Lonchura striata: one gene and its partners. The protein of the gene in region 4 binds, or shares a complex with, the protein of the main gene of each other region. Links are inferred from orthologs where the notes say so. Each region holds a gene or a part of one and is shown on either strand. Other genes may lie near its edges.

Region 1 (7,684 bases), on a different chromosome or scaffold from region 4:
GAGTGATGCGTTTGTTGGGTGTTTTTTTCCCCTCAAATGAGTTCAGTCTCACCTTTAGACTCACCCAATTTAAATATCTAACTTCGTCACCTTGCTGATAAGCAGCTGGAAACCATCTACGTGGGGAATCGAGCTCAACAAGCAAACAGTTCCAAAGGAAGGTGCCAAATTTGAAGTACAACATTGTTGAGAAATACAAATATTGTCAGTCTTTCAAAGGGCTGGGTTTGAAAGCAGGTTCAGGGCACCAGGAAAAGGGGGGGAGAGGAATCACAAAAACTGAAGGTTTACAGATTTTGCATGGGAATAGCTGGTTAGTTCCTGGTGCCTCCTTCTGAGGGCTTCTCACTGATGGTGTGAATTCCAACCAAAACAACTCCAAACAGTTCAAGAGCTGCCCAGATCTCTACACTTCTTATTACATAATGAGTTTTACTATTTGAATTTAAAAATTCTAATTGCCCAACAAAAGGGATCTTATCAAAACATGTTTAAGACATCACTTGTGAATCACAGGCACAGCTTTCAGCACAGCTTTCTCATGAAGAAGCTGCCAAAACTCATAGGCTTGTGTTTTGGTTTTTTTTTTTCCAAGGGAACAAGTGGGGAGCAAAACCCTTGTTTCTTGAAAATCCAGCAGTCCAAGGTGAGCTGAACACAGAGCAGATGGTTGATCATTGCTGTAATAATTTGGTGAGGGTTACAGCAATATATTTCTATTTTCTGGAGACAACACTCGACTTGGTGCAGGTGTCAGAAGCCAGCCCTGAGTACTTCCAGTGACCAAAGGATGGTGTGAGCAAGCTCCTACCTGAGAGGTCATGATGGATCAGGTCAGCAAAGTTGGGGTCATCCCCCCACCAGAATATCCAGAGCTCCCTGCGCCCAGGCCTCTGGTCCCGGCGCCAGACGCTGAGCACGTCGGCCTTGAGGCAGCGGCTGAAGCTGCTGAGGATGGGATCCTCCTCCGTCACCGGGAACAGGATGGGGGCAGACGTTGGGCCCTGCCACACGTAGCGCTTCCATTTAATCCCAGTCAGATCAGCCTGGAGAGAGGAAAGAACTGTCAGGGCTCAGGCAGCTCCAGCGAGCACATCCTGCTTCGAGGTGATGGCACGGGGAGAAAGGGATCCCTCAGAATTGAAACACGTTGGTTAGTTTTGTGTGCCTTAGGAGGTACATTGGGAACAATCGGGGATCCTGCTTTAATAGCTCATTAAATAACTGCAGTAAAGCAAGAGTTGTTTGTTTGCACTGCAGCTTTAAGGTTACACAGAGAAAAATCAGATTTGATTTAAAGTAAAGAGTGAAAGACGAGTGAGTAATGTTATTATTCACAGACTGACACAGTCCAATCTCCTAAACACTTGCCTTAGCAAAGAACATCTTTGGCTTTCTTTACTTGTGCATACACTGCCTTTTCCATCCAAGATTACTCCATGGAAATAGGTGATACAGTAAATCACACATTCTTCCAGCCATCTACCACTTGGGAAAATTTCACAAGTTTCTCCATGGTAAAAAATTCTGTCTTTCCCTCGGGAAGTCTCTCGTGTTCACTGATTTTACCAAGAGCTATCATACTTTTCATTCCTCACACCACATTTCAAGGATTTAAATCCTCGTTAGACCTGCAAGCACGTTGATAATGATCCACTAAACCCCTTCCTAGGCAATAATTAATTTGACTTTACACAGGGCAAGAGTTACTACTCTGTGTAATGGGAAGCAGACAATTCCTGGATTATCTCCACCACAACACCAAGTTTTAGCTCTCAGTTTTGTCACTCAAGCACCTTAAGGCAGGTAGGGGAGGCATTGCCCCGGGTTCTCTTTGGGAAGGCAGAGCAAGGCAGGCTGGCATTTGCTAAGTTACTATTTTTTGTCTTCCCAATATGACAACACACAAAAGATTACTGCAACATTTAAACCTAACATGGCAGCCTCCCTACCTTCAGCAGGAGAGCAATTTGGATGAAAGGTTGTCTGCAACAGTTGCTACTTGAGAAAGACTTTCAGATTTAAAATTGTACTATTAATCTGGAGCTGCAGGCCTGGTGCAGGCTGCAGACATAGTCAGGCCGTCCAGATTCCCCTCCATCCAAAAATACGAGTGCCACAGATTGGCACAGGATTGTTGTAACAATCTCTGGAATCATAAATATCAGTCAGACAGCTAAGATTAGCTCATTTGCATTAAAAGCTGATGAAACAGCTCAGCACAGACACCAAAAAATTGCATCACAGTCCAGTTATATCGAATTTACTTTTGGAGCTACCAAAATTCAACAATATGAACGATGTGCTACTTGGCTTAAAAAAAGACTACAAAATGGTGCACATCAAAACACAAGACAGGCAGGGCATCACCAAAAGCAACCCTCCAGAATAAAAGCAAGCAGGGAAAGGGATCCGTTTAAAAGCGAGGAATACGGGAGGTTTCGCCTGGGATGTCACGAGCGAGGAGGGAAAAGAGAAAGTTCCCCGAGATGTGGGGCCGGGAGGAGAGGCAGCAGCAGCTCCCTTCCCTTGTGAGAAAAGGCTCAGAGGCAGGGATAGAGGGGAGAAAGGAGGAAAAGTTGGAAGGCACGGAAAGGGAAGGAAAAGGCGAGTTGCGGGGAGGCTACTATCCAGGAAGAAAGCGGAGGGAGGGGCGAGGCGAGACAGACAGCGATGGAGGGGAACCAGAGGGGCATGGGAGAGTTGGCTGCTCCAGGCAGGGCCTACTCCGAGGGCTCATCCAGCAGAAGCTCTGCTAAAAATGGCTGCTTTGCTTCCACTGCCCCTTCCCCCTCCCCAGAGCTCCCAGCCCTTCCCTCGGTGGCCCCGGGCGAGTGTGCGCCGGGGGCCGACACTCACCAGGCAGAAGAGGTTGGAATGGCAATCCTCCAGGCTGGCCCCGTTCGGCACGAAGCAGGAACTCATCCTCACAGCCACAACCCACACGCCATTATCCCACAGCCTCCGACAAGAAAGAAAGAGACAGACAGAGAGGGAGAGAGGGAGAGAGAGGGAGAGAGGGAGAGACAGACAGCGAGAGGGAAAGGGGGAGGGGGGCTCTGCACACGCACAAATAATAATACAATTAAATAAGGGATTTACAGACACACGCACGCGAAATAGTGGCAGGGGGAATAACCCGCGAGGAGAGACAGAGAGGTATAGGAGAGGGGGGTAAAAATATATTTAAAAAAATAAAATTAAAAAAAAAAATTAAAGAGGAACTCAGAACGTTTTTTCGTCTTCTGGAGCTCAATCGGGGGTGTAAAGCCGCCGTGGAAGGGGAGAACAGAAAGAGGGAGGTGGTAAGTAATCCAACGACGGGAGATTAAGATCAAAATCCTCCCTGTTCCTCTTGTCTTCTCGTTCGCATAAGGAGGGGAGGGAGAGGAGGTAAGGTGAAGGGGTAATTGATCCAACAAGAGAATAAAAATGGGGTAATTAATCCAGGGGGCTAGGGGTAAAAATCAGTTGACATCCCTCCTTCCTCTCTTCTCGGATGCCAAGCAAGAGAAGCAGGAAAAATAAATAATCCAGCGGGGGCAATTAATCCAGAACCCCCCCTCCTCTTCCTCCTGTTCCTTTAGTCATCAGATGAGAAAGGGGCAAATTGTGGAATGACTGGGAAGGATTGGCCGTGGGAGAGAGAAAAATCCAGGCTCGTCTCTTCGGAGTCCGAGGGCAACAGGGTGTGGGGGGGTCAGATTCTTCTCCCCTGCTCCAAAAATATTCCAAATAAATTAAAATTTAAAATCATAAAAACAAACTTCAGGGGCCAGAAGCAAGGCCAGTCTGAAGAATTCGTAAAGGCAGAGCAAGAAAAATTTCCTGGGGTGTACCCCAAAAAAACATCTGCGGGGGCAGGGGAGGGGGGAAGGTATTCCTTGAGAGAGAAAGGCCGCAAAAGTCTCCTTAGCAGCCCAGCGGGGGATTAAATTCCCGTGTGGAAACCCCCCCTCCCCAAAACGAAATACTCCTCGCAGCGAGGGCGAAACCAAAATATCCTCCGCTGGGTAAAAATTCCTTCCGTGGGGAGAAGGAGGGAGGGGAGAAGGGTGGAAGGAGGAAATTGCGGGTGACCCTCGAAGTCTCTTCGGGGAAGGATGGAGGAGTCTCCGGGAGGCCGATCCCCAGCCTTTTCGGGGGAGGAGGAGGCGGAAAATCGCAGAGTGTCTTCGGGGAGCCTGGTCCTCCCCAGCTGTCCTCGGGGGCTTCGGGGGGACCCCGCAAAGTCTCTTCGGGGAGCCCGGACCGCGCCGAGTCACGGCGGGGAGGGGGCAGCGACCCCCGCCAGACCCCCGGCCGCGGGGGGGGCGAGGCGGGACCGGCTCGGCTGCGAGGCCGGTCCTTTAAAAATAAAGGGGGAAAAAATAAAAACAAACAAAAAAAAAAACCAAAAAAAAACCCCAACAAAACAGCGGGAAAAAAAAAAAAAAAAAAAAAAAGGCGGGGTGGGGGGTTGGAATATAAAAAACGATCGTCTTCGGCCGGTGTGTCCTGGGGGGCGGGGGAGCCCCGAGAGCGCTCGCTGCCCTCAGGTGCGGGTCCCCGCGGGGGCGGAGGGCGGAGGGCGCCCTCGCCGAGGCTCCCCGAGGCTCCCGGGCAGGGCGGGCAGGCGGCGGCCGAGCCCCGGGCTCTGCTCAGCCCCGAGGGGTCGGAGCCCCGCAATTCCCGGCGCCGCCGACACACAGGCGGCCGCTGCTGCCGCTGGCGGAGTCGGTGCCGCCAAGCCCCCGCCGGCGCGTCGGCTCCCCTCAGCGGTGCCTCTGTCGGCGGCTGCCCGGCCGCGGCATCCTGTGGCGGCGGGAGCCTCAGCGCGGGTCCCCCATGGCCGGAGCGGGCGCGGATCCGGCTCCCGGCTAATTCCGAGACCCTTTTTCTTTAATGGCGGCCGCAGGGACGGCGGTCGGGGCCCCCCTGCCGCGCTCCCATTGGCCGCCGCGCCGTCACGTGGGCGCGCACCGCCATGGCCGCCGGCGCCGCTGGGGGAAGGCGGGTGCGGCGGCGGCGCGCGGCCGCCAGGGGCGTGCGGGGCGCTGCGGAGCCCCCGCCTTGCTCGTTGGGGCGGCGCCATCTAGCGGCCGCGGGCGGCGGCGGCGGCGCGGGTTCGAGTCCCGCTCCCGCCGGGCCCGCGGCTCCCGGGCCGCCGGGAAGGGGCAGCCCAGAGCACAGGAGCATGGCTGGGACACTGGCACCAGTCCTTGGACGCTTCTTCACCTTCTTCCTCTCGTTCAGACATCGGTTCCTGCCCGTTGTGCCATGTCCTGGCAGCACGGGGCAGAGCCTGGCGCGTCTTTTGGCACCCCCAGTTCGATAGTTACACACCCCTAAGGCCCCTTATCCCTGCCGGGGCTCCTGTCCGTTCCTGGGGCTGATCCCGGTTTGGCCCGTGAGGGTTGGACTCAGCAGTCCCGGTGGATATCCCGGGATTCGGAGCCCAGCCCAGGGCACGTCCGGTCAGCCTGGGCCAAAGTCCGGGCACAGAGTGTCCCCCAGCACAGGAACACTCGCCTTGGCTCCCCTTCCTCAGCTTCCACCTCTTGGCAGAGGATTCCCCAGATCTGCACCACGGAGCAAATTCCAAACTGAGGCCGTTGGAGCCTTTTTGAAAAGATAGGCAAGAATTGTGAAAGCTGATTTTAATATTTAATGCAAGTGTTAATGCTCTCACTAGTTCCACAGACAGCCTCTCTGCCAAAGCAGAGCCCTACTCCAAAACCCATTTTTTTCCATGCCCAGATCCATATTATGCAGTTCAAGAGGATGAAGTAGGTGGCTTCTCTGTTACTACATGCACAGATTTGCAGAAGGACTGTGAGATTATTCAGAATTAAGATGCTACAGTGACAGTGAAAGCTATTTTTAAGAGATGTTTGGAAAGTGTATACATCTTACTAATCCTCTCATATTACACATTAATTTTCTAGGCAATGCCTTGCATGTAAAATGGAAAATTTTAAATTACTATATGCAGAATTTTTACTGCAGTGTTCAAGCGAAAACACAAACCAGTGTAAAGCAGCTAAAGTCAAAGAAAGCCCCGAATGTCTCAGCTAACCTGACATTCACATTAAAATATGATATGTTCATGCAACAGCAGCACGTTGATCACAACTATGCAACACGATGATGTTTCAAAGGCCCTGCAAATTATTTCAGGACTCCTGAACAAGACGAGCGACAACCTTCTGCAAATGTCTTGATAGAGTAGGAGGAAAGAAGGACACTCTATAAATAAACTTATCATATAAGTTAAAAAAAAAAAAAAAAAGTGAGGCTAGATATATTCGCCAAGAGAAACTTTGAAGATTTACTCACACTGAGCCTATTTTTGTATGCCAGTGTAGGCAAGCAAGATTCTTCTTTTCATCTAAATAGAAGCAGAGTATTTTTAAACGCAGGAGATTCATTCCCTCAGTGCTCATCGAAACACGGCAGCTGGGGCCGGAGCCGGGATGCGGGGGGAGGGCTCCGGGGGGAAGCAAACCCCTTTCCAAAGGGAACAGATGGTTTTCCCTGGGCTGGCTGCAGCCCAGGGCTGCGAGGAGCATTCCTGGGTGCCCGGGGCCAGCCCGAGCCCCTCGGGAGTCCCAGCGGCACCGTGATGTCCCTGCGGGAGAGGTTCTCAAGTCACTCTTCCCCACGGAGAAATCCAGGGGGATGGAGGACATCGGGGAAAGCGGCATTAAGCACGTGGGAGATGGTATGGGTGTAGCACTAAGAGGAAAAATAAATCATTTGGTAAAAGGGGTTTGGTAGATTTAGATATCCAGGATAATGGTTCTTGCAAGTCTGAATTGATTCCAGGATCATTTTCCCATTTCTTGTCCCTCAAACAGCACAGCTCAGTGTCTGGAAGAGAGGATTAGTGTCTAACACTGGCTTTGGTGTGGCTGCACCTCCCAGTTTTGAGCACCTCAGCTCATTTCTCCACATAATGCATTTTGGGATCTGGTTCATCAGTCCTGGCACATTCATCATAATAAACCCTTCTGTAGGATCCCAGCACAAGTGCAGAACATCATTTATCCAGTAAACCTAAACACAGGATAAGGAGCTGATAAAATATCTACAAAAGAAGGAAGAAACCTAAGACATCAACTGGGGAATTTTGAACTCAAACCCTTCCTGGCTCAGAACCTTGAAGCTTTCCCAGTCCCATGCACAGGACCTGAGAACACCAAGACACAATGGAGAATAATCCCATCCATGGCAGGTGAATTCTGCACCTGAAACACTGCTTGCCCTTGGTACTCTTTGGGAAATAAAGCCTCCTGGAAAACAGAGAGGAGGCAGATTAAAAAAAGAATTGAGAAAAAAAAAATGCTGTTGAAAATGTGCTTTGTTTTGTAGATAGGTTCTTATAGAGTTCTCATCTCTGCAACTTCCAGAAGTGCATTAAGCTGCATAATTAGCATCTGTCACATGAAGCTTTTTCCTTCCCTCTTCCTCTCCCTAGAGGGAACCTGCATAAAGAAATTTTAATATAAATTTTAGTATCTACTCTGCGCAGTGCAATCATATTAGGAAAGCTACAGGCAAGGCAGTTTGTGCTCAGACTAAGGTTTATCTTTGTGTAATAGAAACTTTACCAGTTTTTTGTTTTTTGGTTTTTTTTTTTTTTTAAATGTTGCTGATCCCATTTAAAAATTAACCAGTCTCTTGGAAAGACAACAGGGGTGAG
Region 2 (7,549 bases), on a different chromosome or scaffold from region 4:
ATTTTTTTCAAAAAGAATTCAAAAAGAATTCAAAACACAACTGAGAACACTATAGTGACAGTCCTGTGCTATTTTAATTATCTGTTATAGAGTAAAATACTTTTACTGTAAAGAGCATTCTCACAAAGTCTTTCTGTGGAATTATTTACAGTAGTTATAGTTTCTAAGGTGCACACACAGCCCCATGAGATGTCTTTGCAATTGATCTTTATTTTGAGGATTTACATCTCAAAGGTAGAGATTTTGGTTTTATATACTTTATAAGGCCTGTATATATATAAATAAGCATACATAGCTAAAACATATCAGGCAAATTAGAGATGCAGAGAGATTTTGAAAAACTGGATTAAAAAAAAAAGTTTAAATTCCAAAGTTATGTACAAAAATATGCTTGTGCATTTAATAAATACTAGTTCAGCTTCATTTATTTTCCAGGATAAGTATGGTGTTCTCTGTTTTTTCCCTTGCAAAAATATGACATGTGCAATAGAAGCAGAACTTAGAACCCAAATCTCATCAAGAAAGCTATATAAAAGTAAGGACAAGAATAGAGTTGTTTGCAATTCTGAAGTACAAGCTGCTTCTGAAAAAATAATAAGAAAATTATGTTTCCTTGCCTGCTTTGGGACAACAGTGAGCATTATAATACATTCTTTAGAACAAGATAAATATCTCAGGCCATATATCCTACTCTCCTGTAGGACATTATTGTCCCTTATATTCTTATAACATTCTGCACGTGAACTATTACAAGCATAACAACACAAAATCACAACTGAAGCCTAACTCTCTCCATGGTTTAAATTTCATAATACCCTTTATGAAGACTACTACTATTAACAGAAAATGAGGACACTAAAGAACTACTGAAAAGCAAATTACAAACCCACCAGGTGTTTCCAATAAGTAGCCAAAACACCATATGCACCTGACTGTAGAGGATGACAGTCAATGTAAGGCACCAACAGCTTGCTAAGAATGTTTTTTGGACCATACTAAGAGTTCCTTCCCAACATGGGAAAAGACAGCAAGCATGCTCTTTGGGGAGTTCCACAAATCTCCCATAAGCTCTGCATACTCTCATCCTTCCAATACACTACATTGTATTACTTGAAATTCCCAAAGTTGCCACTCAAAGTCACCAGGAGCTGATGGCTGCTCCGTAGCTCATGCCAGCCAACAAAAGTTATGATACTGGTTCAGGTTTAGCAGACGTGTGACCACATCACATGAACCACAAGTGCCTCAGTTCCAGCACGAGACCAGGTAGCAGCCTCAATGCTAAGTCAATGATTCAGGATTAACAAAGGAAATAGTTTTTACAGCTGATCCATTTTGCTGCCTGCAAAGCAAATTTTAATAGGTGAGCAGTGCCAGATGCCAATGAGAAAGTCTGTGCATATTCTGTAATGCAAGGAGTTTGACCACGATTTTCCTTCACAACAAAACTTATGCAACACCTTTATTAGTGCAGTACTACTAAGACACCCAATGCTAAAAGTGCCAAACATAATCATTCCAGATAATCCTGTGTGACGAATCCTGCGCTCATACTACTTCCATCAGAGAGCTTAGGAACAGCTTCCTGTATCATTGAGTGAGACTGGGTCAATCTTAATATGAATACAAGGCAACACCTTTTCACACTCCTTTCCTTTGTTACTGCTGGAATGCTTTTTGAAAAGCAAGTATCCAGCCCCACAGGGACAACCAAGAACGCGGCAAACCACAGAATAAGGCCCGGAGGCGTTCCTGACCTGCTCCTGGTTTCAGGCCAGAGGACCCTCCTGTGAGCAGCCGCCCGGGAAAAGCACAACCCGCCCGACTGAGCCGGGCCAACAGCGGGAACCCCCAAGCACGCACTTTCTGCCCAGTGCCCGAGCTCGTTCCGGGATAAGGGCAACCCAGCTGTTCCATTTAGGAGACACGACAGTCGCCAACCAGCCCCTCGCACTGCCCCCTTCTCTGTTCCCACCTCCAGCGCCCCGAACTCCCGCTCCCCGTGCGGCTCCTTACCTGCGCCGGGCCGGCTCTGCCCGTCCTGCAGCTCCTCGGCCCCGTTCCCGCAGCCGCTACAGCATCTCCCCGGGCCGGCTACCTCCTCCTGCCGCCCGCCGCCGCTCCGCCGAGGGCTTCGCACCGCGGGGCCGGGAGAGGAGTAACAGCGAATAGCACGGGAGGGGAGGAGAAGAAAGGACAGGTCATTAGCAAAGCCGCCGCCGCGCTAGCGAGCTGGGGGCGTCACCCAATGCCGGGCGAGCGCTCCCGCCTCCTGCCGCCGCCCCGGCCGGGACACGGGCGCGGCGCGGGTAGAGGCCGCCCCTAAGGCAGTACCGTGCATCGCTGCCACGCGCTGCGCGGGGCGGGGCGGGCCGCGGCCCGGCTGCCGGCGGGGAAGGAGCGGCGGCGGGGAGGGAGCGGGAGAGGGGCGGAGCGGCGGTGACAGGGCCCGGAAGTGAGGTCGGCACACACCTCCCGCCGCGGCCGTGCGCCATTGGCGGGGCGGGGGCGGCCCCGTTCCCCTCGCACCCCTCAGTGCCCGCACACCCCTCAGTGCCCGCACACCCCTCAGAGCCCTCACACCTTTCAGTGCCCGCACACTCCTCAGTGCCCGCACACCCCTCAGTGCCCGCACAACCCTCAGTGCCCTCACATCCTTCAGTGCCCGCACAACCCTCAGTGCCCTCACATCCTTCAGTGCCCGCACACCCTTCAGTGCCCTCACACCCCTCAGTGCCCGCACACCCCTCAGTGCCCGCACACCGCTCAGTGCCCTCACGCACCTCAGTGCCCGCACACCGCTCAGTGCCCGCACACCCCTCAGAGCCCTCACACCCTTCAGTGCCCGCACACTCCTCAGTGCCCTCACATCCTTCAGTGCCCTCACGCCCCTCAGTGCCCTCACGCCCCTCAGAGCCCTCACAAGCCTCAGTGCCCGCACACCCCTCACACCCCTCACTGCCCTCACGCACCTCATTTCCTTCGCCCTTTTCATTTGCCCTCACACCTCTCATTGCCTTCACTCCATTCACTGCCCTCACACCCTCACTGCCCTCACACTCCTCATTGCCCTCACTCCCTTCACACCCCTCACTGCCGACATTGCCCTCACATCCCCCTACTTCAAACTCCTCCTTGCCTTCACTGCCTTCATACTCTTCAGACCCCTCACAGCCCCGGCCCAAGCTCCCTCCGAGCCCCCGCTGTGTACCGGGGGACGGGGCTGAGGGGCCGAGCCCCGGGACGCCGGGCCGGCCGCTCGAAGCCCCGCGGCCGGAGGGCGGCCCCGCTGCGGGCCCGGCAGCGCCGCCGGCCTGAGGGACGGCCGTGGCCGCGCCCGTCCACCGCTCCGCGAAACACTTCTCAGAATATGTAAGTGCGTGCTTGCCTTCACGTTTGCGTTCCGTGTGGGGAAGAAAGAAACCCAACCAACCAACTAACCAGTCAAAACCAAAATTTAATCAGGAACCTCACTTAATTAGTGAGTTGAGCAGTCAATGACACAGTACCGGGATGATAAAACAGGACTCACTTCAGAGGTTTCCAGTGGGAAGTTAAATGAGGTCTAGAAAGGGAAGAGAGCACTGTTTTGGGGTTTGGTCCATAGCACAGTGAGCACTACACTTAATTCCATAAATTTATCATAAATTTGGGGTTAGCACATGGCCCTGGACACCAGAGCACTCAGTGCAGAAACAACAGTGACTGTGGAGGCTGAAAAGCCCCGAGGCATGGCTCAGGACCAGCCAGCAAAAGGCAATACTGACCATGGAAAAAAGAAGATAACTAAAAGCCCTATATTGATTTAAAGTATTTCAAAGTGTTTCAAACTAGCTCTGGTCACTGTTTAACTTCTCAACCACCAGAGCTGTTCCATGGTCTGTCCCAAGCTGGGCCAACACCCTATGCCACAAGAATCAGTTGATTTAGCAGGTTAATACCCAGGTTTAACACCTACATATTTCATCACAGGTGAGGTGACATGATGCAAGTGCTGCAGTACAATTTTCTAGAGTAAGATGTTGGAATGGATGCAGGCTTTTGCCTGGGGAATATGCACGTTTTGAAGGATTTGCCACAGTTGCCAGTGAGGGACATGCCAGGCTGACTCAGCTTTTTATCCACACCTCATCTTGTCCTGACTCACACACAAGTGCTGTCCCAAAGGCAGTAAAACACAAAATATTTATTGGAATTCAAAATGAGTTGTGGGTTGTTTCCTGTTTATGAACTGTGGGCTCCTCAGCCTACACCAAACATGTAGCAAGTTCCGTCTGCAGCAAGGAGGGCTGTGTTACTCCAGGCATGGAGGAGAGTGCTCTTAACCCCTGTTCTGGAAGTGATTCTTCTAAAGAACTTGGAAACATTTTGTCCATGAAAATGACTGGTGTTGCAGAAAGTGGCAAAGGAGGAGAATCCATGTCACACTTTAAATATTTGCACAGTAGACTGCAGTAAACCATTCTGTACTGAAAGAGCTTTTAAAGTGTAGATTATCGAAAATTACTGGATCGTGTAAATTTGTATCACAGTTTAAATCTTAATACCATACTAAATATAAAAATCCATTAGTTATTTAAATGTGCAAGTTTTTAGAAATCAGAAGTTAGATGATTTACTAGGTTTTTAGCTGTAATAACCTTCAATTAATTTTATATTCTGTTAATGTGCAATAACCTTTTTACAATTGCCTAACAGTTTGACAGTTGTGGAAGACGCAGCCACATTTGTGCAGTTGTTGATTTTCCATCTTTCCAGTAGCCAGCTGGCTTTGTCAGACGCCTGCACAGCCACACACAGCATTTCTAACAGAAAACATTTTCATTTGCAAAAGAGAAATGCCTTTTCATTTATTTAAAGGCCAGATATGGAGTCTCTCATAACAATTCTGTGGGAGCAGATGAGCAGCTCCAAGTCAGCACAGACTCATTCAGAAGTTTGGGAGGACAGACCATAGCAGGGAGAATTGGCAGTGCCTTTGCCTCCTCCTCCAGCTACTGGCAGAATGCAGGAAGTGGGCTGGCCCTGAGCTCAAATATTTGCTGTGGTTTCTCTCGCTGATTTGATGATAGAGATTTTAACAGACAATGGGCCTTGTTTTTGCTGGGTCATCGTGAAATACTTCCACTACAAAGTCGATAGAGCCATAGAGCCTTCCCATTTGAGTATTTATTTGAAGTGGGAACTGCAGAGACCCGGTACTGCAGCCAGCACTTTATCAGCTGAAATAGCATACACAGGGTTCTGTTTCTCTATGACTGCCTACTGAAGCCTTATAGAACTAACATGTACTAATGGAAAATTAATTACATTAATCTTTGAATCATTCTTATTAAAAGAATAGAAGAGGCTGGACAATCACAAAGCAACAAGTTTTATGAGCAGAGGTCACTAGCAGAAGTCCAGAAAACTGTCAAAGTGTAATTTGATTCTTTTTCTGTATAACTTTGTGCATGCTGGATCCTGCCCCTTTGTGCTTGGTCAAAATATGTCAAAGCCAAAAGCCCCATGTAATAATGAAGAGGAGAGGATTAAATCTGATTTATTTAATATACACAGTATGCAAATAATTGCTAAAAGCACAGTTCTCTCTCATTAAATCAAACCCCTTAAAAAACCCCAAACAACAGTCAAGAAAACTGGTGAAGCAGAGGAGACCATTGAGATGTATCCACCCTGAGCTTTCCTTATGAAGCTCTCTCCCAGCATAGCAGTCTGGGTACAGAAATATCTGTGCTGCTTTGTTTTGCTGTTGGTTTTAGGTCAGGCTGGATTTGAGGGCTGGTTGTTTTTAGATGCATGTCTCTCTCCTGGATTAGAACAAAGCTCTAAGGCTAAAGGTGATAAATGAAAACATTTAGATAAGTCACATGAGGCTCATTTACCTCATTTTCCTATGACAGGTTATGGATGGAAGCAGGATGCAACTTACAGGTTTACACAAGCCTACTGTTCCACAAAACTATTTAGACATTCGATGTTTAAAAAAAGCTGAGATTATATTTCCCAACAAAATAAGCAATGAAGCTGTTACTTACATTTAATTTCTGTTAGAGATGCTTACCATGCCACCCCATCTATATAAGGTATAGCCTTGGTCATTCAGATAATTTCTTTTCATGTTTGAAAGTTACTTTGCTCATTTCACTTACTGAAACAATTCATAACTTGTCAGAGCATCAAGATCAAACATTGCAGGTGTCCATAAATCTCTTCCTGTGTGAAAAAGACTTCAGAACAGTTGCATGTAAGATCATGGTGCTTTAAACTTATTAACTCTTCTTAAGCCAAAATGTTTAGAACTCCTTTCATTACTCTTTATGCTGGTACTGTCATTGTTGCTGTGGGTTTTCACTACATGATTGCCAGTCAGGTTGAGAATGGATGATTTTTTTTTTTTTTTTAATGTTTACCCTCTCATCATTATTACAACCAGTGTGTTTAATTTCTTTGTTTTAATAAAAAAAAAAGCTCTTTAAAGAAAACTATTAGCAGAACAAGCACCTTTCTTACAGTAAAGCAGGATGTCCCAAATCTTTCTTCTGAGGGAGAGCCCATGCTGGATGGGGAGGAAGCAGACTGACTTGAAAACACCTTATGGCAATAAACAATTACTCTTAAAACTCAGCTGTGGCTATTCTTTCCCAAATTTGCCCTCCTTCTCATCTGAATGATTTCTTTCTCCAGTGTAATATTCCTTTTCTATACATTTATTTTTGTGCTGGATACTGCATTACCAGATTCAGCAGGTTTGCCAGGTTTATTTGTGTGTTTTGTTTTTGATCTTTGGGGACTGCTAGAAATCACTTAAGCTTAATATAATAAACATATACATTTTTAGAAAACATATCACTGCTTGGTATCTTGAACTGGGACGAATTTTTGTTATTATCCTTTTGGGGTGGATTGCTCCTTCCTTTCTTTGATGAATGTGGTGCTTGCCATAGTGTGACTGAGGGAACAGGTTTCCTCCTTTTTTTTGGCAGGTTTTTCCCTATTATCCTTGGAAATAAATGTACTCTTAATTTAGTTGTTTAATTCATTTTAATTTACTTACCCCTGTATTTCCAGTCATTTGAACTGAATACTATTTGAATGTTTCCTGTTCCAAATAAAGAGTTTCTTTCTGATCCAGGTTTCCCACTTGCTCCTACTTTTGTTTTGTTGGCTCAGTGAAGCCTTTGTTACCCCTTTTCCCCAATCTCAGTTTCCTAGTTGGTGTTTTATCCATGTCACTGAGCTTCTCTTCTTGAGCAATATACTTAAAATCTGTCCCTGTTGTCGCCCCCATAGCTGTGATTCAAATCTTACTCACGAGTGGCTATTGCAACACATCTTTTGGTGCTCATTCTCTCCCGTCTCCAGCTAAAGCTAACTTTCACTGTCCCCTCTCAAATCTCTTTTCTATTTACGTCAACTCTGTACCCCCTTTGATGTCTGCTTCCAATTCCCAAATCTTCTTTCCCGTAACTTCTGGTGCAATCTCTACTGTCCTTTACCAAGCCTGCAGGAAACCGGCTCCTTCCCTGCACAGCCTGTCCATGAGCAT
Region 3 (7,222 bases), on a different chromosome or scaffold from region 4:
ACAGTGAAATGAAGTACTAAGGAGCTATTTATGAGCAAGTGGAAGATGTTAGAATTGGAACCTTGCCTTGCATGACTGCCTTATAGGAGAAGAGAGGCACCAAACTGACAGCAGTTTTAAGGGAAAATCAGGAAAACCAAGGGATTAATGTCTGAGAGACAAACTAGCAATACACTTGTAGGAAAGAAGTGATAGACGGATGAAGGTGATTTTTGCATGCAGCAGCTGGAAGTAGAACTCCTTAAGAAAAGGATTCCTCTCAGCTCCTCTGGTTTCTGAGGAAACTGCAGACAGCTGCTAGAGGAACAATTCTGATAATTACCAGGAGGATCCTGAAACTGCTCTGCAAAAATGGGAAAGGCAGGGCAGGCTGTCTCTGCCAGGATCCCAGGAAAGCCATTCAGGTCACACAATAAAAGGATGTGAGAGCTACAGGACACCAGTTAACCCACTTGCTTTAGATTTCACCTCAAACACAGACCATAAGGATTGCTTTCGTGTAATCAGAGTTTCTGTCTGCCTGTTTTCCAAGTTCCTGTGTGTTGTTTGTGCAAAAAACAAACACCATTTTTGTAGGAATTTCTTCTTGACTCAGCATAAAGAATTATAGAATGGCATACCCAAAACAATGAAAGTACAACAGGAAAAGCCAACTTTAATCTGTGCCTACGACCTCACATGCTACATTTAACAAAAATTAGACTTTTTATTTTTTACCAAAAAACCACAAAACTTTAAACATTTTCATCTGCCCAGTCACCCACAACCTCCAACAGGTGCACAACAATTGCTCTTTCTGCTTGTACAACAGCAAAACAAAATACAAAATGCATCCTCAGAACCCCTTCTGTCTCTCACTGCGGTGCATTAACAAAACCAGCTGTTTGCTTCATGTCATCTCATCAATAATGCTGCACATTGCTGCATCTTTGTCCAAAACCTGATCTCTCTTGCCACCAGAACGCTCCCTCTGTTTTTCGCTCTGTCCAGCACAGCTGCTGCCATCGTCAGTGTCCATGGGCTCCACGCTGACTCTCAGTCCCCCCTCTGTGTGAGGCAGATCATCGGGCAGGGAAGCCAGGCAGTTCTGGATCATCTCCACCACTCGCTCCAGGTGCTTCTGGAAGCGCTCGGCCGTCTCCAGGCGCTGCCGTTTCTGCACCTCCATCATGACCCTCAGCGTCTCCCTGGCCTGGTGAGGCCGGTACTCATTTATAAGGTGATGCACGTGGACAAAAAGCAGTTTCAAGTCTTCCAGTTTCTCCTCTCGCTTTATACTCCCTGGACTCCTTATCAAGATGTCCAAGAGGTCCAGGAAGTTGACCAGGATAGACATGTTAAGTTTCCTTAACTCCTTCTTGTGATCAAACTGCATAGGATGCAGCCGTTCGATCCCCTGGCTCTCCAGGGGCCGGATGATCAGATCATCACACTGGAACTGGTTGCCAAACATCATGTAGCTGTCCTTCACAGGAGGAGGTGGCTTTGGAGCCAGGCCTTTACGGATGTTTTCATCAGTGTATTCTTTGATATATTGCATTGGAGGCGGAGGAAGGGCACTCACTTGCTGAGGTTCACCCATTTTTGCCAGATGAAATTTCTAGGGAATGACCCAAGAAACAAATGTTAACAATTTGTGTCACAAGTTTATAATATAAATGTAAGAAAAGACAAAATATGGGAGATGGCAGTAAGAAAATGAGCAAGAAGAGACAAATCCATTTGCAGAATACAGGAAACTCCTGGCAAATCCACGTTATCTTTTCACTAAGATTTACTTATACCAAGTACTAGAAGCACACAAAACACTCATTTCTCTAAATATGAAAGAGCAGCCTGTAAACTAGGCAGCCAAAGGGAGAAGGGTGACCCCCTTCCCTAGATGGGTCCTGGTGGGCAAACCCCCCAGAATCACCGAATATCCCAAGCTGGAAGTAATACACAAGGATCTGCAAAAGCCCTGCACAGGACACCCCAAAAATCTCCCCCATGGCTGACAGCATTTCCCAAAGGCTTCTTGAAGTATTTTAGGCCTGGGGCTGTGACCAAGGAGAGCCTGGGCAACCTGTTCGGTGCCCAACTACCTTCTGGAGGAAAAACCTTTTCCTAATATCCACGTAACCCTCTCCCGGCACATCTCCAGCCGCTCCCTCGGGCCCTGTCACTGGCCTCAGAGGGCAAAGATAGGCGCTGCCCCTCGGGGGGAAGCTGCAGCCCGCGGTGAGATCCCCCCTCAGTCTGCCCTTCTCCGGGCTGGCCAGACCGAGTGACCTCAGCCGCTCCTCGTGCGGCCTCCCCTCTTCACCCGCGCCCACGAGAGAAACCAGGCAGGGCCCACACCCGCCGCCCTGCCCTGCGGAGGAGGGAGTTTGGGGAGGCCCAAACCCCGCGGCGGGGCTCGCCAAGTCAGTGCTGAAGAAACAAGAGCCGGAGCCACGGCCCGGCGGAGGGCACGGGCCCCTCGGAGGGCACGGACCCCTCGGAGGCCTCACGGGCCCCTCGGAGGCCGCACGGACCCCGCGGAGGCCGCACGGACCCCGCGGAGGCCGCACCGGCCCTCCCGCCCTCACCTGCCCGCTCCGCCCGCCGCGCTCCCTCAGCGCCGCCGCAGCCGCTTCCGCCCGGCCGCCCTCTCCTCTCTCTCCCTATTGGTTGGCGGCCTCGCGGTGCCGCGCTCTGATTGGCTGTGACGCAGAGCAGTCAGGCGCTCCTCCACTCAGCTCGCTCGGGGGCGGGGCCAGGCGCGGGGCGTGGTTCCCGGTATGGCGGGGTGGGGGTTGCCCCATCCTGGGGCGGTGGGTACCTTTCAGAGGTCTGTGACCCCCTCAGCGGTCCGTGACCCTCCCCAGCGCTCTGTGACCCTTCAGCAGTCTGTGGTCTCTTAGCGGTCTGTGACCACTCAGCGATCTGTGACCCCTCAGCGTTCTGTGACCCCTCAGTGTCCTGTGCTCCTCAGTGTCCTGTGCCCCTCGGTGTCCTGTGTCCCTCAGTGTCCTGTGCCCCTCGGCGTTCTGTTCCCCTCAGTGTCCTATTCCCCTCAGTGTCCTGTGCCCCTCGGCGTTCTGTTCCCCTCAGTGTCCTGTTCCCCTCAGTGTCCTGTGCCCCTCGGCGTTCTCTTCCCCTCGGTGTCCTGTGTCCCTCAGTGTCCTGTTCCCCTCAGTGTCCTGTGCCCCTCAGTGTCCTGTTCCCCTCAGTGTCCTGTGTCCCTCGGTGTCCTGTGCCCCTCAGTGTCCTGTATCCCTCAGCGTTCTGTGCCCCTCAGCGTTCTGTGCTCCTCAGCGTTCTGTTCCCCTCAGTGTTCTGTGCCCCTCAGAGGTTCTGTTCCCCTCGGTGTCCTGTGCCCCTCAGTGTCCTGTTCCCCTCAGCGTTCTGTGCCCCTCAGTGTCCTGTATCCCTCAGTGTCCTGTGTCCCTCGGCGTTCTGTTCCCCTCAGTGTCCTGTGCCCCTCAGTGTCCTGTGTCCCTCAGTGTCCTGTTCCCCTCAGTGTCCTGTGTCCCTCGGTGTCCTGTGTCCCTCGGTGTCCTGTGTCCCTCGGCGTTGTTCCCCTCGGTGTCCCGTGCCCCAGGAGCGGGCTCCCTCGCCACCAGCCGCTGTGAGGCAGCGGGAGCGCCGGGGCAGGAGGGACCAGCCCGGCGGCCCCGGGAGCTGGGACAGCGGGGACAGCGCTCGTCAGGGCGGCCCCGCTGCTGGGAGACAACAGCATTACGGAACAATCACAGGAATCACAGAACCAATCCGGTTGGAAAATACCTCCGAGGTCCCCCTGGGAAGTGTTTGCAGCCATCCGGCAGCAGAAAACGCTAAATCTGACCATAACTGACAAACAGTTGGGCTCCGTTGCTTTTCTTTCCGTTTTCTTCCAGGAGGAGTTGAAGTTAACATGGTGGATGTAAGTTTTTCACCGGGTCAGGTGGAGCTGGGCTTGCTGGCATCGCTTCTGCGGGATTTTCTCCCTGAAATGGCCAGCAAGGAAGGTTTTTTCGATACTTGGCCGTTTCTGTGCCGTTCTCTCTCCCTCAGCAGATGGCAGCAATGGCCTGGGTGTTAGGGACCCATCACCGCACACGCAGTGTCACTTACAGATTCACTCTTCCAGATCGATTCTTTACTAAAAAAAATTCAGTTGAATGATAATTACTTTGGATCCTGCTAATTATTCCTAAAAACATGCAAAGAAGATCCAGAATCGTTATACTTATTTGATGAGAAAGCCTGAAACGATGTACTGAATATCTGAATATTTATATATTGCAAATTAAGCTACACTTTACAATTTACAATGAGTTGAATATTTAAATATTCCAAACTGAACTGCACTTTACAGTGAGTAAAAGCCTGGCTGAAAAATACGCTGATTTGTTTTCATTTGTAAGCAATTTGCTGAATTCAGACAAGGATGCAGTTCCATGCTGCAACTAAAACGTTTTTCCTTTGGAAAAGGTGATCTCATTCCTTCACTTCTATTCCTGCTTCTTTCTTCCCTCTCTTCTTTCTTCCCTCCCTGCTCCTCCAGCCCCTCACTGGCTGTGCACCCTTTTCTTGTCATTGCTTGTGCCACCACCATCAGGCACTGGATTGCAAAGCAAACTGATGCAGCTCCAAACCCATAAAACATTACTGCAGGGTTTTTTTTTGTAAAGTTTTCAGCTTTTCTAATGAATTAACATGCTGTGCTGTGTACCCTGTGAACATCAGGGAGAGGTTTTGAGAGGGGACTGTGCATAGGCAGAAGGAAAGGAGGAGGCTGGGAACATGGGGTGGGGAATTGTCCTCTCCATTTCTGTGACAGAAATCTCTTATCTTGTCTCAAATCATCTTGTTACATCATACTCTGAAAGAAAGATAAGGAATAAAAATCATTGCCTCCAGAGATGCATGAGATAACACATGTAGTAGGAGGTACCAACACATCCTTGGTTTCATTGGACTTTCCAGACTTTGATTTCACATTCTTTTTACAGGAGCTGAGCTTGATTCTCTAGTGCCTTGCACTCAGTGAACCATGCAGCAAGGATGTAAAATGCTGTGACTTCAAACAGGAGCAGGCAGAGAGAGCCATGCTCTTGTTTTTCCCTCGATCTCTGTGATCTTGACGCATTTTCTGTATGATGGTGGCCAAGACAGAGGGAATATAACATCGATGAGTCTTGCTCTTGGTGGCAGGGCTGCTTCTCAGAAGACCCATGGATGACCCTTTCCAGCCCACGGGGAGCAGCTGACACTTCTCCTTACAGTGCTTCTAAATGAGAAATTAAGAATGACGGGGAATCTCAAGTGTAGCACTCTGCAATTTGCTTCTTGCTCCAGTCCAGCTCTTTTCTGAAATAAGGGCACTATCCAGTACAAGCCTAGCACTGGTAATGAAGCACAATTCCTACATCATCTCCAGCTTGTGGGAATGAACTTCGACACCCCTTCAACAGATGGTGAAAAAGTACCATGATATTCTCTGCCTCAAAGACTCAATATCTTAATTTATAGCTTTGGTTAAGTTTATTTTCATTTTCTTCATAACTAATTTTATGCAAATTGGCATGTTTCAGTAGCAAGCACTCCATTTCTGTTAATTCAGCAGCAGTGTGTACAGTGTGTGCCATTGCAGTATGCTGTTATTTTAGCAGAACTGGAATCCAAACATTGTACAAGCACAGTAAATATAAACCCCACTTTCAGGCATGCTCTTAGAACAGTGCTTCTCTCTTCTGTGCTACAACAGATTTCTTTCATTTCTTGCTGCTATTGCACTCTAAATAATAAATAAATAGATAAATAGATGTGTGTGTGTTTTTCTCATGTTGTCTGAAAAACAACGCCAAAGTCAAACTCGGTTCCAGTCTCTTCTTGGGCGTAGGTTAGGGTTAGATCTTGTAGCCTGGTTAAGCAATGAGCTCAGGAATTTCCTTTTTTGGTGATTGTTACAGGCTTTGTTGCAGGATAAACCAGGGAGGAGGGCAAGAGAAAAGGAGCCTGTTGGGGGTGAAGGAGACTTAACCAAGCTTTATGTCTCCATCTGCTGTGGTTAATTCCCATCTCCCTGCCTCCCGCTGTGGCTTTGGGAGTGAATGAATTTGCAGTGCAGTACTGTGCAACCTTTTCTTCCTGACTCCTCAGACTAAAATATCAGCTGCAGCCTATTGGCACGCCTGCTGAAGTAGGAGTTTAATGTTCCCATCATGTGAAAACTGGGGCACAACACAGAGCAGTGCATGACAGCTAAACTGTTTCTTGCTCTATGGCCTGTTATCAAACAGATTCAAAGCTCAAAACAGAGCTTTCATGGTTATTTAGCAATAAACCAGGTATCTCACTACAATTAGGAAACTGATAGGGCTCAAAATCCAGGCATGTTTTGATGGAATCACCCAGCACTCCTTCCTATGTTCATAGTCATAGTATTGTCTCAGGAAGCAGCCCCCCAACCTGATTTTTGAGCCAGACATTAATGCTGGGTGTTTTCTTGCTCACATGCCTGTTGTAACTGTTTATTCAAACATGTAAATGAACATGTCTTTAAAACAAACATGTAAACAAGTAAATTAACATGTCTTTAAAAAATGCATCTGCATGGCACAAAGAAGTAATTCCTGTCCAGCAAACAGTGACCTGGGTACAGCAAATGTGTTGTATTGCCAGGGCAAACCCTGGGATCTGCAGCAAGTTTTGCCAGCAATGCAAGTCCCACCTTTGTCTTCAGAGGGAGACAGAAACAGACAGGAACCATGATAGCCAGGCACTAATAAAAGGAGCTGGAACAAAATCCCAGTTTGGCTATGGCTCCCATGAAACGAGTTTTTCCTTTCTGCATTTTTGCCTAAGAGAGAACAGCTGAGGAAAGGATTAATTGTCCCTTTATCACAGAAGAAGGGACCTAACCCTGTGCAGCTTCTCCAGTATAAAACACGTGCTCTATATTACTGCCAATACTGGGAATAATTCACTTCACGAATGATGGATAATTCACTACATCCTCCCAGCAGATGCTCAGAACAAGGCATCCCATTTCTCAGGGCTCCCAAACAGTTCACAGGAGGATCTTGCTCTGCTTCTACAACTCCCTGGGTCACTGGGAGCAGTGTGAGGGGATTCAAAGGTGCAGTTGTAACCTCAAGGAAAGCTGGATGCATCTGGTTCATAAAGACCAGCTAATTCTTCCCTTTTTCTGCAGCTTTCTGTCTTGTTCTTTGAGTCTACTGGAGCCATGTTTATTGGGGTGACAATGAAC
Region 4 (7,698 bases):
TGAGCCCCCCCCCAGGTGAGCCCTGAGCCACTCAGGTGAGCTCTGAGCCCCCCCCAGGTGAGCTCTGAGCCACTCAGGTGAGCCCTGAGCCACTCAGGTGAGCCCTGAGCCACTCAGGTGAGCCCTGAGCTTCCCCAGCTTCCAGGTGAGCCCTGAGCCACCCAGGTGAGCTCTGAGCCCCCCCAGGTGAGCTCTGAACCACTCAGGTGAGCCCTGAGCCACTCAGGTGAGCCCTGAGCCCCCCCCAGGTGAGCCCTGAGCCACTCAAGTGAGCTCTGAACCACTCAGGTGAGCCCTCCTCTGTCTCCTGGACACACCTGACCAAGAGCTCCCCCCACTACAGTCTCACCTCTCATCCTGGGAGCTCCACAAAGCAAAGCTACCACATGAATTACAACTCACACTTCACCTGACACACGGAAAACAGGTGAAATTCCCTCTGTCCCTTTGCTACAGTCACTGCAGGCAGGTGTTTTCCAAAGGGGCTGGAATACCTCACACAGTCAGTGAGTTATCTGCCCAGGAAAGAGAGAGGAGTAAGTTATCAAGCCAGAGAGTTGGGTACAAGCTGAATGTAAACAGTGAGCAACCTTTGGAACTCATCTGGTTTGGGGTCCAGCATTTAAGTCGGAGATGTCCTTAGAAAGTTGCTCTGAAAGTTTAGGGAAGCAGCACAAAGTGCTCTGAAGTTGCTCCCATAAATCAGGGAAATGGAACTGCTGGAATTCTCTACTCTGAATTCTCTACTCAGCCACTTACACAGAGAGGTTCTCCTGGGGAGAAAACTCTTAGGATTGCTCTGCAGCTCCCAGTGGCTTCTCCCTGCTCAGGGCTGGACATTTCCTCAGCGCCACAACTCCGAGTTGTATCAGTGAACTGACACCTTGCACCTTCCTCACCCTTCCAAAGGGTGAGCAAATAACGTGTCAGAGTAGCACCACCAGGCAAAAAGGACTGAAGGGAAGGAGCAGAAAACTACCCAGGCCTATCCCTGAGAACCTCCCAGGTGTACACAGAGAAAACAGGCCAGAGGAGGAGCAGCCTGGAGGAAATTTTCACTGTAAAAATCACAGTGGAATACAGAGATTTTACGTCAGAGCTTCCAGGGGGGTTGAAACCAAGACAGAACTGCCAGCAAGGACAAAGGCGAGCTCTCCATGGAAGACAGCACTCCTGAAGTTCAGAGCTGCAGTAACAAAGACCAAATTCCAAAAGCCCCGTGTGCTTTGGGAACTGCTGAGCTGCAGGATGCAGCACAGCAACCAGGGAGCAGAGCATTCCTATGGCCATTGCATTCCAGGTCACATCTGAATTGCCATGGAGCTCCAAGCAAAGCTCCACAGCATCCATGGAGACAACTGGAAACTCACTGAACGTTAAGCCAGGGCTAGAGAAAGAAAAGATCAACATTAGACTATGTCACAGGATGATTAATGAACACCTGAAATAAAACGCACAGAGCTACCTTGAAATAATTGTTTCCTTCTGGAGCAAAGTTACTGAGTAAAAGGGGAGAGAAAATTAGAGATAAGCCAAAATCCAGCTGGTTGCTCCTCGCCCTTCCAGCCTGCCCACATTTCAGAAGGGAAGAAACTCTAGTGCTGAGAAAAGAAAGTTTAGGCTGAGAGATGGAGTTTGCACGTGGCTGCCTCTAATCCAAGGGGAAAGAAAAGACAAACCAGTTCAGGAAGAGCAAAATCCACCCCAAACGAGCCCTCCTGAAAAGCAGGATCACGCTCCCACACGCAGTAAACAGATAAAGGCTTCCAGAAATAGGTGAAAACATTCCCCGTGGCTGAAGTTCCCAGCAGGTAAGCGCCTTAGATCCTGCTCCGGGAGCCTCCCCACGAAGGGGCCACTCCAGAGGTGGGTGTAACTTAATCCCAGCAGCTCCTCCAGCCTCCCTCCCTGCCCGCAGCCAACATGGACGCTGCCTCCCGCCAGGCACAGAGGCGGTTCCCAAAGTGTCAGCCCCATTTCCAAAGGGAACGGTCAAAGCTCCCAGCCAAAGCCAACTCCACACACGGCACTGGGCAGCAATGGGGAGGAATCACGGAATCACGGAGTGGTTTGGGTTGGAAAACGCCCTGAAGAGCATCCCATGGGTAGGAACACCTTCCTCTAGCCCAGCTTGCTCCAAGCCCTATCCAACCTTGGACAACACCATGGATGGAGCATCCACAACTTCCTCAGGCAAGCGCAGCAGGGAACAATTTTTTCCCCAATATCCCACCTTAAACCCACCCTCCATCAACCTGAACCCATCCCCCCCTGTATCCCATCACTCCAAACTCTCCCGAACTCCCTCCCAGCTCCCGGGGCGAGGCGGGGCACACGCACCTGGCGATGGGGCTGCGGCTGACGGAGCGCTTGGAGGCGAAGGGGCTGCTGGAGCGGCGGCGCCCGTAGGGGCTCGGGGACCTCCCGCTGTAGGAGCCGCTGCCCCGCTCGTAGCTGGACGAGCGCCTCCGGCCGTAGGGGCTCACGGATCGCTGCCGCCGGCTGTAAGGGCTGGGCGAGCGGGCGTTGGACTGGTAACCCACGGGCTCCTTGTAGGGCGGGCTGAGGGATTGGCGGCGTGAGGATCCGCCGGGGCTTTTCCTGTAGGGATCGTAGGTGCTGGAGGTGTGCGAGCGGGGCGGGCTGAGGTCGTATTCCTGCACGTAGGAAGCTCCCGAAGGGCTGTCGTCCAGTTTTGGGCTGTCCGACCATTTCCTGTGAGGGCTCCTGGATTTCCTCTTGGGGCTGTCGATGGTTTTGTAACTTTTGGGAGCATCCCTTTTGCGATGGCTTTTGCTGCGCTCTTTGTGGCTGGACTTGAGCTCCCGCTCCTTCCTGGATTTCTCCTTGTGCGCCTTGGCCGAGCGCGATTCCTTGTTGCTGCTCTTGGAGGAGGAGAGCGCCTTGGGGTGCTCCTCGCTCTCCAGGAGCCTCTTGGAGGATCCCGAGATCCTCTCCTTGGCGGACCTGCTGGAAGCATCCAGGCTCTTTTCCAACTTCCTGTCCTTCTCCGCCTGTTTGCTCTTCATCAGCTCCCGGAGCCGCTTGTGCTGGTGGTGCCGGTGCTTCTGGGCCCTCTCGCTCCTCTCCGCCCTCCTCTCGTCGTTGTCCCTCCTGTCCAGCTTGAGGCCCACATCGTCCGAGAAGGTGTCCGAGTCCGAGCTGATGTCATCGTACTCCACCAGCGGCTTGATCACCGCTCCCAGGGGCGCCGCCGCTTCCTGGGCCGCCAGCGGGGACTCCTTGGAGTGCCTGGACTTGTGCCTCTTGTGCCTGGAGCCCGCCCGGTGCCTCTCCTTGCTGTTGGAGCCGCCGCCGCCCGGCTGCGAGCACGCCCCGCCGCCGTCCTTCTTGCCCCCATGCCTCTCCGGGTTTGGCATTCCTCCCCCGCTGCGCTCGGGAACGGCGAGGGGCGGACTCGGCGGAAACCCCCAACTTCAAACTCCCTCCGCGCCCGCCCCTCGCACCATCCACGCCGGCCTCGCTGCTCCCTCCTCACACGGGGAGCGGGGCCCGAGCCCCGGAGGCGGCGGGAGGGACGGGCCGGGGCGGGGGGGGGGGAAGGAGCCGGGAGGGGAGGGGGAAGCGCCGCGGCCTCACCGCCTCATCCGAGGGGGGCCCAGGCCCGGCGGGCAGCGCGGCCGCCCCGGGAAGGCGGGGCCCGGAGCGCTGCCCGCGGCCTCAGCGGCGGTGGCGGGGCCTGGGCGCGGATCCCCGGCCGAAGGGGCCCCGGAGCCGCCGCCGCCCCCGGCGCGGCCCCCGCGCTCTGCCCGAACCGGAGCGGCGCCGTCCGGGGGGCGCCGCCAACTCTCGCGAGACCCGCCCGCAACTCTCGCGACAACTCCGCCGCCGCCACCCCTCCCTCCTTCCCTCCCCGGCGAGTCCTCCTCGTCCGCGAGTCCTCTCGGGGGATGGGCGGGGCCCGCGCGCTCGTCCTCTCGCGAGAGCCGCCAAATCGCGCGGCGGCTCCTTCCCAGCGAACTTTAATCGGGGCGCGGGGCGGGGACAGCGCCCCCTAGCGCCCGGCCCGCAACAAAGCTCCCATGGCGGCGGCGCCGCCGCTTCCGCCCCGCCCTTTCCCGCCGCTCTCCCGCTCCGCCGCGCCGCGCCCTAAAGCCGCCGGCGGGTGGCTGCCGAGCCCTCCCCGGCGCACCGCCGGCTAACGAGCGGTTAATGCTCCGTTAGGGGCTGCGGAGCGGCCGCCGCGCTTCCAGGGCGCTGAGGGGGCGGGGCGCGCTGGCCGCCGAGCCCCGCCCCGCTCCCGCGGAGTCTCGCGAGAGCGCGGGAGCGCGGCCGCGGGCGCAGCGATGGCGGCGGCCGCCGCCGTGTGAGGGCGAGGGCGGCCCGGCCGCCGCCGCCGCTCCCGCTCCCTCTCCGCTCCCTCTCTCCAGTCCAGACCAGCCCCGCGTTTGCAATATGAAGGCCGCGCCCGGCAGCGCCGAGGGTGAGTGCGGCGCGAGGGGCGCGGGGGTTCCCGGTTCTCCGTGAGGGAAGGAGGGCGGCCCGGCGGATCCGAGGCTCCGCATTCGGGTTGAGGTTGAGGTGGCGGCCCGGAAAGTGAAACGGGCGAGGGTCACAAAGGTGGTTTGAGGTGTGGGGAGTCTCTGTGCGGAGGTGGAGGGAGCTGGGCCTGGTTGCTGTGGAGGAGAGGAGGATGAGGATGCTATCAGTCCGGGCAGATATCGCTAGGGGCTGTCAGAGCCCTGTTCAGACTCTGCTCAGCGGCAGGACGAGGAGAAACGGCCGGAAAATAAAACACAGCAAGTTCCACCTCGGCATGACGAAGAGCTTCTTTCCAGGAGGGTGTCCAGGGAGGGTGAGTGGTCTCTGGGCACATTCCAGGTGACCCTGCCTGGCTGGGTGATCTGCAGAGATCCCTTCCAGCTCTCTCATGGGATTCTGGACAACTCAGTGTTGGTTGAGGAGGGGCTTGGACCAGGTGAGCTGCAGGGGTCCCTTCCCACCTGCAGCATCCTGTGTTGATGCAGCTGAGAGGTGTAAAGTGCCTGAAAACAAATCCCGGAGTAGCTGGGGTTGGAAGGGACCCCTGGAGATGATCCAGTTCAACCCCTCTGCCAAGGCAGGGTCAGCTGGAGCAGGGGACACAGGTGGGTTTGCAATGTGTGCAGAGCAGGAGGCTCCAGAACACCCAGCATTCATTCATTCCTTCCTTACACTTGGGTTTGGAGGGCTCAATGTGAGGTCTGTGGGCTAGCAGAGCATCAATCAGGAGCCCAAACTGTGGAATTTTGGCAGGTGGAAGTCACAGGCTCCTGTGAGGTGACACTAAAATGTCATGTCTGCACTGGACCCTCTGGGGCTGGGGACAGGGTTTATTCTGGAATGACGTCCACTGGGATGGTTTTTTTGACGTGAAAGTATGAAAAGCTCTGTCTCTTGGCAATAAAACACTGGATTTCAGTGTTCATGAGAACCATGTTCTCTTTATCACTCATCCACTGCTTCATCCCCCCCAGCACATGGAGCAGCACAAGGGGACAGCAGCCCTCAGCTTGGAGCTGATTGTGGAGCCATGGGATGTCCTGAGCTGGAAGGGACCCCCAGGACCATCAAAGCCCAGCTCCCATCCCTGCACAGGCACCCCAAAAATCCCACCCTGTCTCTGAGAGCAATGTCCAAACATTCCTGGGGCTCTGGGCTCTACAGGAATCATCAACCCAATTCCTGGCCCTGCACAGGCACCCCAAAAATCCCACCCTGTCTCTGAGAGTGATATCCAAACATTCCTGGAGCTCTGGCAGCCTCGGGGCTGTGCCCATTCCCTGGGGAGCTGTTCCAGTGCCTGAGCACCCTCTGGGAGGGGATAAAAATTCCCAAAATCCAGGAATCATCAGTCCAACTCCTGGCCCTGCACAGGCACCCCAAAAATCCCTGAGAGCGTTGTCCAAACCCTCCTGGAGCTCTTGGGGCTGTGCCCATTCCCAGGGGAACTGTTCCACTGCCTGAGCACCCTCTGAGGGGGGGAAAAAACTTCCCAAAATCCAACCTGAACCCCCCTGGCACAGCTCCAGCCGCTTCCCCATGTCCTGCTGTGGGGCAGGAACGTGTCTGAGCACAGAATTTGGCAGAACTGGCAGCTGGAATGACTTGGCTGAGGTTTTTGATGGTGGAAGGTGTTGAGGACCTTTCAAGAAGTTGGGGGAGAGAGACCAGAGAGGGGATCCAGGACACAAAACCCACCTCACTGCTTTAACCCCGTGTTTCCCACAGCCTCAGTTTCTGGGGATCCTCTCCTGACAGAACTGAACCTGCTGAGGCCACATCACTCAGGGATGGTGCAGAACAGGAGCTGAGCATTTTCCAGGAAAATCCATAAGATTTTCACAGTCCTTTAGTTTTAACAGCCTGGGAGATTCCGTAACACTTAACCTCACCTCAAGCTCTGGGGTTAAACCAGCAGTTAGCAAATTCTTTGAAGTCATTTTCAGCTTAAAGGTGGAAAGTTTTGTGTTGTTTAAGTGGTTTGCAGAACTTACCAAAGTTGGCTCACTGTGTTCCTGTGTGACAGAGGCAGAGAAGCTGAACAAGATGAGCTCCCTCCTGGAGAGGCTCCACGCCAAGTACAGCCAGAACCGGCCCTGGACAGAAACCATCAAGTTGGTCAGACAGGTCATGGTGAGCATTGCTGGGCTCTGAGCTGCAGCTCCTCTGCTGAAGGATTTCTCTTGGGTTTTTAGACCTTTTCCAGGTGTTTTTTGTTGTGTCCATGTGTCATGGTTTGATGCTGGTATCCCCGTGAAAATGCAGCTTCTTAATTGGATGCTGTGAAATGTGATTGAGAATAAAGCAGGCGAAGCTTAATAACAAAAAGGAAAAAAAAGCTTTATTAAGCTACTACTGCTATATTAGTATAAAAGAAAAAAAAGAAAAGCACACATAAAATTTGAAATTAAAACCTTTCAAAACATTCCTCTTCTTACTATCTAACTTTAATAAACTACAGTGACACACATTTGGACTCTTAATGAAGTATTTACCTTTTAATATATAATCAATACTGAGTCTAAGAGGGGACAGAGGAGTCTCCCTTGCACTACAGACCCCCAGGAAACACAGCTGCCACCTCTTGTGTTTCTGTGTCACACGTGGCACTGCCTGGAGAGAATCTGCCAGTGTGACACTCCTCTTTTTGTCACTGTGCTCTCACCACCGTGCATGGACAGAGACTGCTCATTGGGCTCCTTTGAGGATGCTTTGCCAAGGACCAAGAGGAACAACAGTCTAGTGTTTAATTTTGGGGCTACAGTCCCCCCCATTTTCCTCTAGAGCCTTTAACCCCTCTATATTAAGAGCATGTCTACTTTCAGTTGGTTATTCTAAGTGTCAATATTTACACCTGACCCCTGACTACATCAACTTCTTCCTGCTGAAAAGATTCTTTTTCTCATGTCAAACCACAGCACTGTGGCTTCACTCTCTCCTGAGTGGTGCAGGGGAGGGAGGGATGTCCAAACCTGCCCAGCCTGATGTGCCTTTCCGTTCCCTAATTAGTGTTCAGTGCCAGGGAAAGAGTAAAACCTATATTTCCTGCTATTTACCCTTCCAGGATATTGTTTTGTGGAACAGTTTGTTCAGTGACACTCAACACTCAGCCCTGGCTTAGTCAAAAATGGGTTTAAAATATTGGTGTGGCAGCAGGAGGCAGGGGAGAGCTACAACAAAACCTCCTGCCCACAC

What was found.
Region 1: MED1 (region 4) and MED13 share a complex: the UniProt entries of both Homo sapiens proteins name them as parts of the mediator complex. The link is inferred for Lonchura striata from reciprocal best matches to the Homo sapiens genes MED1 and MED13.
Region 2: the proteins of MED1 (region 4) and PPARA are in contact, whole or in part, in a crystal structure (PDB 9IWM), measured with the Homo sapiens proteins. The link is inferred for Lonchura striata from reciprocal best matches to the Homo sapiens genes MED1 and PPARA. Residues at the interface, in NP_004765.2 of Homo sapiens: Asn638, Thr639, Asn641, His642, Pro643, Met644, Leu645, Met646, Leu648, Leu649, Lys650; in NP_001001928.1 of Homo sapiens: Val284, Thr285, Thr288, Glu289, Lys292, Phe297, Leu302, Asn303, Gln305, Val306, Thr307, Leu309, Lys310, Pro458, Leu459, Glu462, Ile463.
Region 3: MED1 (region 4) and MED7 share a complex: the UniProt entries of both Homo sapiens proteins name them as parts of the mediator complex. The link is inferred for Lonchura striata from reciprocal best matches to the Homo sapiens genes MED1 and MED7.

Annotation. Positions count from the first base shown.
Region 1 is NC_134622.1:9,291,052-9,298,735, reverse strand, and holds the start of MED13 (mediator of RNA polymerase II transcription subunit 13), read right to left. Parts: upstream 3,049-7,684; 5' UTR 2,926-3,048; coding exon 2,860-2,925; intron 1,047-2,859; coding exon 812-1,046; intron 1-811. UniProt on the Homo sapiens protein: Component of the Mediator complex, a coactivator involved in the regulated transcription of nearly all RNA polymerase II-dependent genes.
Region 2 is NC_134607.1:4,994,996-5,002,544, forward strand, and holds the start of PPARA (peroxisome proliferator-activated receptor alpha), read right to left. Parts: upstream 3,261-7,549; 5' UTR 3,212-3,260; intron 2,297-3,211; exon of another isoform or gene 2,133-2,296; 5' UTR 2,017-2,132; intron 1-2,016. UniProt on the Homo sapiens protein: Ligand-activated transcription factor. Key regulator of lipid metabolism. Activated by the endogenous ligand 1-palmitoyl-2-oleoyl-sn-glycerol-3-phosphocholine (16:0/18:1-GPC). Activated by oleylethanolamide, a naturally occurring lipid that regulates satiety.
Region 3 is NC_134617.1:4,516,880-4,524,101, reverse strand, and holds MED7 (mediator of RNA polymerase II transcription subunit 7), read right to left. Parts: upstream 2,626-7,222; 5' UTR 2,571-2,625; intron 1,601-2,570; 5' UTR 1,583-1,600; coding exon 890-1,582; 3' UTR 636-889; downstream 1-635. UniProt on the Homo sapiens protein: Component of the Mediator complex, a coactivator involved in the regulated transcription of nearly all RNA polymerase II-dependent genes.
Region 4 is NC_134627.1:7,131,567-7,139,264, reverse strand, and holds the start of MED1 (mediator of RNA polymerase II transcription subunit 1), read left to right. Parts: upstream 1-4,523; 5' UTR 4,524-4,891; coding exon 4,892-5,108; intron 5,109-6,529; coding exon 6,530-6,636; intron 6,637-7,698. Other genes in the region: CDK12 (cyclin-dependent kinase 12), read right to left, coding at 2,341-3,380. UniProt on the Homo sapiens protein: Component of the Mediator complex, a coactivator involved in the regulated transcription of nearly all RNA polymerase II-dependent genes.